2 linked regions of the Bombyx mori genome follow. Each later gene encodes a partner of the first gene's protein in a complex. Links are inferred from orthologs where the notes say so. Each region holds a gene or a part of one and is shown in the gene's direction. Other genes may lie near its edges.

Region 1 (5,650 bases):
TAGAAGACTGCAAGTGTTAAAGTTATTACAAAACCTTGACAGTAGCGACCAAAAAAGCTTTACGGTTCTTGATGCCATCTTGATGATATCAGAAGCATGGGAAAACGTTTCACAAAACACTATAGCTAACTGCTTTAAGCATGCTGGTTTTAAAGACCTCTTAACAATAACCTCAGATGATGTGACTGATGATGATGGAGAGGACAATATTTCTGTTGCTCAATTAGCCCAAAATTTACGACCTGCTTTATCTATTACTGAAGCAGCAGAGTTCATTGATGTAGATAACTCTATTGCAATTTGCGCACGAGCTACAGAAGATGATATTATACGAAATGTTAAAGAAGAAGATGACGAACAGGAAGACTCTGAAGAACAATTTACTGTACCAACTTTGAATGATGGTATCAATGCTGTTAGTGTATTAAGAAAGATTGTTCTTTTTAATGAACACATCCACAGCAATTATGACGATACGTTAATTAAAATCCAACGTGAATTACAAAATATCTATGCACAGCAGAAGTGTTCCAAACAGACCAAAATTGCAGATTTTATGCTCACAGAAAAATAGCATTGTACTTATGTACATAGTTGAATAAATATATTTTTCCAATAATTCCCTATCAATTTGTTTGTACTTGCACGATACACATTAAACATCACCAGTTGTTATGACTATCGGTTTTTACGACTGAATATAAGCAGTCCCTTCGACGTCGTTATAACAAATTTTGACTGTAATTACTAGTTTTTTTTTTACATATTATATATTGGGTGTAAGAGCTCAGAGACCACTTGGAGGCATGAAGCCTTCATTAGAGTCTATTCAAAAATAAATATAAGGAAAAAGGCACTTAGAAATACCTGACTTTAAAGTTTTTAAGTCAGGTATTCTAAGTGCCTTTTCAGCCTTGCCTTAGAAATTATTTATTTGTTTTTATTTATTTCATTTCCATTCCATATGACTTTGACAAATTTAGTGCTTTCCTTAGGACACAAATTTCCAAGATATCACAGTAGTTATTGAATTTTTCAGTTGCTACTTATGTTATTTGGTTTTAATACACGACGTCCTCGGATGTAAATAGGAACTACAATTTGCATTTTAAGGATTTCAAGTTTGATTCTCTTGATAAGATCGTTCTTAGAGCAATATGCAAATGTTGGCGAATAATACATAAGCCGTTTGTGATCACTAAAAGTCGGAAATAATAAAATGAAAACTTTAAACGAGATTTAAAAAAAAAAATTTTAATTAAAGGCCTACGGCTCTCGGAATTGAAGAACATCCGTTGAGAAATCTTTGGAAATTCAAACCTCAAGCCTAAGGAAGAGATATTGAATAGATTCACCTCGAGAGTGTAAAAATGGAATCTTACATTTTAAAGGTATCTTGTCAGTCGCCTTTTTGATAGACGACATCGTTTTCTTAACAGACGCAGGCGAAGCGCGTCCTTTAGTCTGATTAGTCTTCCCTACAATTCGTTGCACTTTAGGCGTAGGTTTGGGGACATCTCGAGGAGCCATCCTTACGTTTTTTGCTCCCAAGTTTTCTATTGTATATGAGAAGTATTTTAGCAAAAAAATCACAAAACAATTCGCAACAGAAAGTTTTCAAATTTAAACACACAAACTTCAAAATATATTTTTTTGGTTGATTCGTTATTATAGGCAAAGATATATTTGACTATACAACCAAATATTTTGTTATGAAAGGCTGGCTGTTGTCAGAAAACTCAAAAGGAGCGATGGGATATATTAAAAGAATTAAAAGAGAATTAAAAGAAGTGAGATAAGGGCAATAACATGAGATAACGTAATAAGAAGAAGAGGAAGGCTGCGTGGATGTTCCACCATGGATCTTCTGAACTACCATAGGAAATAATACAGTACCCGTGGTTCTTTTCTATATTTAGTGCATTACCCGTGTATGCTCATAAGTAATATAATTAAAATGAATATAAGTACTTTTCCCTACCAATGCTGATAGCTTTGAGAGGCTATTTCAGCTTCGCCTTGACGTGGTGAGCTCACAGGGTTCAAACCGGTTCAAACTGTTGCTAACACTGGCCCTAGCAAGAGCAGTGCTTTGCAAAATCTACCACCAAATCAGAAACGCGACCCATTGAGAAGATCCGGCGAGAAACTCAGTGGACTAGTAAGTACTGAGTACTTCGCTTAAAGGTCTTGTTACCAGGCCAGTCATAAAATATTCAAAAAACGCAGTACATAGCAGTACGTATGATAAAGATTACCTTGCATAAATTTTAATAATAAAAGCTAATTTGGCTTAAAAGACTTTGTTTCCAAGCCAGAAAAAATTATTTAAAAAAATGGGGAAATATTATCAAACGTACATACCTATATGTATGTATAGTATACAATGTATACATATGTTCATTATTGTATATACAGAAATAAAATATATAAGCTTTAATGTTTATTCTAAAACTGCATTTATAAGACGGAGTATTAGTAAAGTAGGAAATAGTATAAATAAACATAATTGTTCTCATTCTCATAAGGTCTTATCGACGTCAGTCCTCGCAGCTGAAATGTTGTGTTTCTAAATAGTTATTCTCTTTGGTAAATTAGAATTGCAGACGAACCAATAAACCGCAAATATATTTTATTAAGGAGATTAGCTTTAAACGAATCACTTTTATACCTATTGAACAAAGTACATAATATGGAGGAAGCCAAAGCGGTTAAAGAAAATCCTCTGGACATCGACAGCAGTAGTTTCAGCCCAGACGTCTACTTAGATTGTCTTCTAAAATGCGCTACCCTAAAGCAAGTAATGGACAAAGAAGCGGAAATTGTAACTCAAAGTCAATTTCTACAATCAGAAATGCAGACATTGGTTTATGAAAATTATAATAAATTTATTTCGGCGACCGAAACTGTACGCAAAATGCGTTCCGATTTTAAAATAATGCAAGAAGAAATGAATAAACTTAGCGAGAATATCAATAAAATAACTACATTCAGCTCTCAAATATCTGAAAATCTCCAAGGCAGCGGTAATAATGTTCGACGTTTGTGTGGTACAAGACAGCTGTTAGATAAACTTCAGTTCCTTTTCCTTCTACCTTCTCAACTTAACAAAGCAATAGCAGAAGGCAGATACAGTGATGCTGTACAAGACTATTCACATGCTCAGCGAGTACTCCAAAAATATGGCAATCAGCCTTCATTCCAAAGCATACAGACTGAGTGTTCAGAAATTATATTTGAACTGAAGAAGACACTCCGTGAAAGACTTATCAGTCCTAATACATCTGCAACTGAACTTGCTGAAAGTGTAGCCCTTTTAAGGCAGCTCCAAGAAAGTGATTCATCCTTACAAGATATATTCCTTAGTTGTGCAGAGAGTCGTCTTGACAAACACTTGCAGATGCTCAGTTCTATAGCTGAACATACAGACATTTTGGACTGGGTAGAAAAATGCAATAATACATTGTTGGCTGATTTAGCTATTATAATATCATGTTACAATGAAATGTTCGAACAGGAAGCTATCATACCCGAATTTGCTGATAAAATAATGATTCAAATTTTTCATTTATTCGAAGAGGTCATTAAAAGACCTGAGAACAACGGAACTGAAATGTTAATAAGGGGCCTTGATAAATTCTTCAGAAAACTCCAGGCTATGACCGAAATATCATCAAGTGATATGATGTCCAGTAAAGGCACTGAGGTTGTCATTCAGTGTATAAATCACAAGGCTATGGTACAGTACCAGAGCATACAGACTCAATTTAAAGACAGTCTTATGAAAGTAAGGCAGTCTTTGGCCAGTAAAGGATCAGAAACAATTGACTTAAAAGATATACTGAACTCCCTTCAAGTATATCTGATGCAAAAAATCCAAGCCTCACTCTTAGATCTAATGGCATTCTTACAAAATAATTTATCATTTGGATTAAAACCTTGGTGTGCAAAAGCAGTAGCTGATGCTTGCTCAAAAGTCATAAATGAAACTATGGCTAATCTTTCTGATCTGGTAAAAAAGATGGCTTGCCTTCAGACTTCAAATAACAACATTCCTTTTGAATTGCTACTTATACTAGCTAAGCTATGTTTGGATATGCAAGAGACTGGTGTCTCGACATTACAGAACCATCTTCTCAAACTCTTAGAAGAGGCTGCTCCTGGCCTCACTGTGGATAACAAGGATACTAGTAGTGTCATGGTCCACTTATCTACTGCAGCGCAGACTGCACTAGATTCAGAAGTTGTATTTATTGGCCAGACTGCAGCCCAAATGTTGAGAGTATCTGTATTAGCTAGAGATTGGTTGCGAGCTCCAGAACCAAGGGGGCCAAGAGCAGTATGCAGAAGAGTAGTGGAGACCTTAGCTAGTGCTGATGGTGCTGCATCTCAACTGTTTCCAACTAGTATTAAACCTTCTAGTGACTCCAGTCGGCGTACTATTTGGTCACGTGCTCCTTCTTCTTTTTCACCTCTTAATAGGATATTCTCTGAAAGAATTGAAGTGTTTAGTCCTGCAGGGGCAGACAGAGCTGCACTATCAAATGGTGCCCTAAAAGTAGCTTTGAAAGCATTAGTTGAATGTGTGCGCCTACGCACATTTGGAAGGCATGGCCTACAGCAATTACAAGTTGATGTTCACTTTCTACAGCAAAGGCTTTCATGTATGGGCAATGATGAGAGGCTTCTAAATGCTTTGCTTGAAGATGCTTTAGCATCAGCACAGTTGAGATGCGTTGACCCACAACTAATGGAACCTAGTATTGTAGATATTATTTGTGAAAGAGGTTGAAGGAGAAGAACATGATGCTTGTATTGATAAAACTGGCTTAATTATCATATGATTCAAATTTAGATTAGTCTAGGGACTTAAATACCAATCTTAAATCTATACTATCTATACTAATATTATAAAGAGGAAAGATTTGTTTGTTTGTTTCTTTCGAATAGGCTCCGAAACTACTGGACCGATTTGAAAAATTCTTTTTCCATTAGAAGCCGACATTGTCCCTGATGAACATAGGCTACTTTTTTTTTTTTTTTTTGGTTTCATGTGTGTTTTAATGTTTCCGAAGCGAAGCGAGGGCGGGTCGCTAGTATTAAATAAACAAACAATTATTTATACTTTTAGTAGTTTTATTTATAACCCATTAATCAAAATTGCATCATATTAAAAATAATATCATCTACATTTATAAAATTTCATGTTAAATGCTTCTAAAACATAAATCTCACAAGACTGCTACTCTGTTTTTTGCATTTTTGTTAGTCACGTAGATAAACATCATTAAAATTAAAAACATTTTAATATACTATTCAAAACAGACATTATTTATATATTTTGGTCCTAGTTCACTAAAAAAATTATGATGATCATCGCATTTAGATTAGTTCATCGTAGTGGTAAATGATCAAGGTTGATGTATTAATTAAGAAAAAAAAAGATAAGTAGGTAATGATAGTTATTGGCAACAACAGATATTTCATCCTTAATCTTGAATCTATAAACAGGTGACGTATTGAAGATATAATGATTTGAAGTTAAAATCATGTTGATGTTAATTGATGGATACAACTAGACCGTGAAATTTACTATTGCAATAGATTCACTATTTCCTAATGAATTGGATCAGAAAGTCTCAGTGGATAG
Region 2 (5,670 bases), on another chromosome or scaffold:
TTCGTCGATGGTTTCTAGGTGCTCCAGTAACGACTTAATACCAAGTGGGTTGTGAGCTCGTCCACCAATTTAACAATAATAAAAAAAACAAAATAAAAAACTTCACTTCTTTTGAAGAGTAATTAAACTTTCTGTAAATTACCACTATTTTAATCAAGAGTTATTTCATTTCATCTCATACAATACCTAAAGTTCACTTAGTTCATCTCGTTTTCCTTTGTCACCTTCTCATTTCATTCCGAAATCTCATTTCAAAAGAAATCTTTTATTGGACACCATTCAAAGTAAAGGCTAAATAAAGTCTTTCGATTTTTTTTCCTAAGAGGCTCAAACCTGACTATGTTGCTAACACGAACCCTAGCAAGAGCCGTGCTTTGCAGAATCTACCACCGATTCGGAAACGCGACCCAGTGAGAAGATCCGGCGAGAAACTCAGTGGGCTGTGTCTGTGGGTTAATTTACTCGTCGAGCCCTTCGTCGCAAATGACGGGATCGACGAGAACGATGGCCGGTGCTTGAGGTACCTAAAAGGACCGTTAGTGGATCGGGAGGATCCGAAATGACGTGTTTCGTTGACTGCTTTCCATTCTGTCCGCAGGATCGGGAATGTAGTTACCAGCGGCCACGATGAGAGGGTTGTCGTGTTGTGCCGCTTTGTCGAAGTGGCGCATCGATGTCGACTGTAGATACTTACTGATGGACTCTAAGTCCAAGTCGTCATGGAGGTCGATGTTCCTGACGAACCATGGGGTTCCGACGGCTATGCTGCAAAAACGGGATTGAATAATTTGGAGTGATTTTAAGTTAGTGCGGGCCGCGTGAGCGAACACTACACTTGCATAGGTCACGACGGGGCGTATGCAAGTTTTGTAGAGTGTCACCTTATTTATAAGGAACAATTTACTTCGCCTGCAAATCATCGGGTAGAGGCGTCCTAGTATGAAGGTGGCACGGTCGAATACCGTCTTTAAGTGGGGGCGGACTGTCATCCATCTGTCGAGGGTGACGCCTAAGTATTTGACCTTCGGGGCCCACGGTATGAGTTAGTCGTACATTTTTTTATGATTGAGAGATTACTGGTAGCCCGGAGGCCTTTCCAGTTTCACCAGGGGGGCGAGCAAAGGCTCAGCCAGGAGGGGTGGGATTTGCTAACAGCTGCCCAAGCGCCTCCAAAGGAGACCTAACAACTCTAGGGCAGCAGCTTCGCGAATGAATCTACTACCGGATCGGAACCGTGACCCGCTGAGAAGATCCGGCGAGAAAGACAGCGGGCTGATGCATGGGTTAGGTTGCCCGTCGACCTCCTTGTCGAGTTCGACGAGTGCGGTTACCGGGGTCCCTAAGCCTGCTCCTAGTGTTAGAGCTGAAGGCGTCTAATGCAAAGGTTATTGGATCTGATGGATCCGCAAGGACGTGTCTAGGGCGTCGACGGTGACTAGATCCTGCATGATCAGGATTCGGTAATGGTCGTACATCATGATTGGCCGAATGGCAGAGGCGGAGGTGTTGACGCGTCTGGTCGGGAGCGGGATGCTCAATGTGGTATTCGGAGGGCGACCCCTTCTGAAGAGCACCACTGTGCTTTTCGTGGGGTTGATGTCGATGCTCCACTTCCGGAACCACTGTCCCAAGGTGGTAGCTGCTGTCTGTAGTCGCCGATGCAATAACGACTTCTTCCTACACAAGTAGTAGATAGCCGTGTCATCGGCGAAGAGCGCCAAATGGGTCTCCGGAGACCGGGGTACATCATTGATATACAAATTGAACAATAACGGAAGAGGGCGGAGCCTTGCGGGACTCCGGCTGTTACGTGACGGGGGCGAGAGCGCGTTCCCTCGACTCGATATCGGAACGGTCATTCGATGGTTAAGGTTTTTGACAATTAACAAAAATGTTGCAATATGCTTCCTTTCCGCTTAAAGTGATATTTTCCAGGTAGCCTTCCAAATGCGGTTCCCTTTCACTTTTGATGTTAGGCTTCAAATGTTCCTTTTAGAGATTTTAAACGTATGGGCTATATTTTCTTTGCCTCCAAAAACAAAAAACGGGACAACAATTCAAATGTCAATGTCACTTTAACATTTATCAAACGAGATGTCATGTCATCAGTTTTTAAAAAAAATGTAGCTATTTTTTTGCCTAAGTTCAAGTTTTCTTAGAGTCAATATTCGAAATTCATAAAGAAAAGTGTACTTATACATACAGAAATCAATCTATACTAAAAATGTTATGGAGGAAAATTCATCATCAAGCACGAATCCAGCATGGCAAAACTGTTCACACTGCCCCAGCCTTGTTTTCAGCACAGCAGCAGAATTTGAAAGGTTTAAAATTAAGACTTATTTTATAAATTAAGTGATCTTCATCTTATTCAATTAAGCGACGTCGGCACCTATAGCTATGCTCTATGATTTGGTATTTAGTTAATGACTCGGCGCTCGCTGAACGTAAAAGCAAATACATTAAGTATATATGGCTAATACAGATGAATGATATGGATGTTCACAAAAGTTGCTGTTTGAAATGGCTAGCGATATACCCTTCTATAGATATTCCTAAATGTTTTGTAAGCCCAATACTTATATGCTAATATTTATTTTACAGACATATACTAGATAAGCACTCCATAAAAGAGGGAACCATAATCCTTTGTCAATATGGACAAAATGGGATGTGCTCTGCATTACAATTTGGAGATTTACGGAAAGCTGGTTTTAAGTACCACATCCGAGAATATCATACATATACCAGGACACCTAATGAGTCTTGGACATTCTATTCTTCTTCACAAAATCTCCCTGCAGTACTGAATGATCCGAATAGAGGTAAGCAGAGCAATTTCTTCACGAAAACATGGGGTGACAGCTTTGTGGATAAAATTGATATACTTCCTAGTCCTTATTTACCAGATGTAACATTGACACATTTTGAATCTTATTGTAAAAAAATTGCTAAGAGGTACCGAAGACATTTAAGACTAAAAGAAAATTTGCCAGTTAAAAATAAAACTGCAATCATAGAAAATGATTGTGAAATACCAGATATATTCTATGAACCAGGTTTGCCATTAAATGATCCAGTGGTTTTCAGTAAAGTTTTTCCAAACCTTTGTAGTTCTGTAGATAATGATGTAGCTATAAGATCTCTGCAAGAAACATTGAGCACTTATCTGGATGTAATAGAAATGAATATTTCAAAGCAAGTAGCACAAAGATCAGATGCATTTTTTCATGCTATGCTTTCACATGATACAATAATGGAACAGATGGCAAAAGCTGTCAATACTGTTCAGAAAACAAGAAAACATATTAACCAAGTTAAAAAGAATCTGACTGAATGTCCATTGAAATTAAAAAGCTTAACTAGGATAAATTGTAATCTTGGTCATGTTCATGAAATTCTTAAGCTAATGTCAACAGTACAACAGACTCAACCTATGATTCAGCTATTACTCAGTACATCGGACTATGTTGCTGCATTGGATTTAATAGGCTCTACACAAAAAGTATTGTCAACTCGACTTACAGGCATACAGGCATTTAGACACTTATCTCCACAATTAACTGAAATGAAAAGGTTAATTCATAAAATGTTAAGTAATGAATTCCTAAAATTCATTGTATGTGACTTAAATAGACCACTAATAGATGAAAGTGACATTCCTGAAAAAGATAAAATTATATCAATTGTTTCTGGCATTCTTCGTCTCAAAGAATTTGATTTTCTAGACACATTTAAAATGGAAGCTATGACATCTATTCAAGCTACAATAAAACAATCAGTAATTGAAATTATTTCACAGCGAGATGGTTGTTTTGAAATTGTTTTAAGAGGATCAAATGCAGATAACATGTGGCTATTGTGCAACGAAGGCATTTTATTTTTGCAAAAAGTGACTCCAAACTTAGTTATGTTATTTAAAAGAATACTATCATTAACAAATTTGATTATAGATGTAAGTCAAATGGAAGATGTTAATGGGAGTGATAATGAAGAGATTTGGTCAGCTGAAGAATTGACATCTATTGAAGACAAATTGAAAAAAATGATTGTTTCATTGTCAGATTACTGCAATGAAAGATGTGCTAACCTAATTGTAACTAAAACAGACAAAGATTATGTGTGTTCTGATATGTCACAGTTATCTCTCCTATCAAATTTGATTAAAGAATTTTGCACCAAATGTGAGGATGTAACCGGATATTGTAGTAATGCCATGAATTTGGCTCTAAGGAGCTTTGCTATGAAGTATATACAGACACTTCACACTGAACGCAGATCTCAATTAACAGCTTCTCTAAATGCTGAACGATGGAAAACTGCAGATGTTCCATATGAATTGCAAAGTGCAATCACAAAAATATGTGAAATTCAAGAAATACCTCCTAATTTACTGTATGAAAGTGGGAAACCAGACGGAAAATATCTTTTTATAAACAAAGAAAGCTATGCTCTGGTAGGGACAGTTCAACTACTTATAAAAATTTTATTGGAATACTGTGATGCAACCAGACAATCTCCCATTATAGTTCAGTATTTAGTTCATTGTATGTTAGAATTATTAAGATTGTTTAATTCTCGGTGCTGCCAACTTGTTCTCGGTGCAGGGGCAATACAAAGTGCTGGACTTAAAACTATTTCTACATCCAATTTAGCTCTAGTATCTCGATCTTTACAGGTTATATTATGGTTTTTACCTATGATAAAACAGCTGTTAGAGAAAATACATTCTTCTGAGGTATCATTGAGCGGTTTTGTTGCTATTGAGAGTGATATTGCTAGCCATAAACAGGAAATAGAAAATAAGATTTGCTTAATTGTAAGTAATATGTTATGTTCTCAATTAACAGGGTGGGATGCAAAGCCCCCAGTTCCTTCTCAAACATTCCGCAATATTTCAAAACATTTAGTGAAGTTACATGAAGCATTAATTGATATTTTGCCACCTGAACAAATAAAGTTTATATACAAACGAGTACATGATAATTTTAAAGATAAATTAAGAGAACAACTAATTAAAATGAATATAGTTGCTAATGGAAGCCCCCAACATGGTGTAGTGACTTCTGAATTGACATTTTACTTACAAACTCTAAAGACACTCAGAGTTATAAACGATAATGATGCAGAAGACAATATACTATATGACGTTTGGTTAAATTAACTTTTCCAATATTTTATGTAAAGAAAACTATCTATTTATAAATATTACATTAAGTCATCACTTCTACTTAAAATACTTTATGATGATGAAATATTGTTCTCAAATGCAATTGTAGAAACAAACCAAAAAGGTATTTTTATTTCAGAACTAGTTAGCAAAATAAATAAAAATTATCGGTTTTGAAAAAATCGATGATTAAGCTATTGTCATTTTTTATTAGAATCTTTAGAGGCGATCATATTATGTACTATAGATAACCAATCTGAACATGGAGATGCGATTGATAGGTATTTAATCTAAAGTTTAAATTATTAATCTAACATGTATTTATTTCAAGTGTTTTAAGTTTTAATATAAATATTTATTTTAATTCAGATGTGTTTTTTCGAGTATATTTAAACAAAAAAAGGATAAAATAGCTGACAATCCTAAACGAATCCAAGTAAAGATTTTCTGAGATTTTTGCTTTCAACACACGACGGCTATTGGTATAGCTTAACTATGGA

What was found.
Region 2: vacuolar protein sorting-associated protein 51 homolog (region 1) and vacuolar protein sorting-associated protein 54 share a complex: the UniProt entries of both Homo sapiens proteins name them as parts of the golgi-associated retrograde protein (GARP) complex. The link is inferred for Bombyx mori from reciprocal best matches to the Homo sapiens genes VPS51 and VPS54.

What each region holds. Positions count from the first base shown.
Region 1 is NC_085115.1:1,408,030-1,413,679, reverse strand, and holds vacuolar protein sorting-associated protein 51 homolog, read left to right. Parts: upstream 1-2,322; 5' UTR 2,323-2,692; coding exon 2,693-4,792; 3' UTR 4,793-5,124; downstream 5,125-5,650. Other genes in the region: uncharacterized protein LOC101737848, read right to left, coding at 1,356-1,530. UniProt on the Homo sapiens protein: Acts as a component of the GARP complex that is involved in retrograde transport from early and late endosomes to the trans-Golgi network (TGN).
Region 2 is NC_085118.1:10,581,537-10,587,206, reverse strand, and holds vacuolar protein sorting-associated protein 54, read left to right. Parts: upstream 1-2,070; 5' UTR 2,071-2,229; coding exon 2,230-2,324; intron 2,325-2,604; coding exon 2,605-5,164; 3' UTR 5,165-5,534; downstream 5,535-5,670. UniProt on the Homo sapiens protein: Acts as a component of the GARP complex that is involved in retrograde transport from early and late endosomes to the trans-Golgi network (TGN).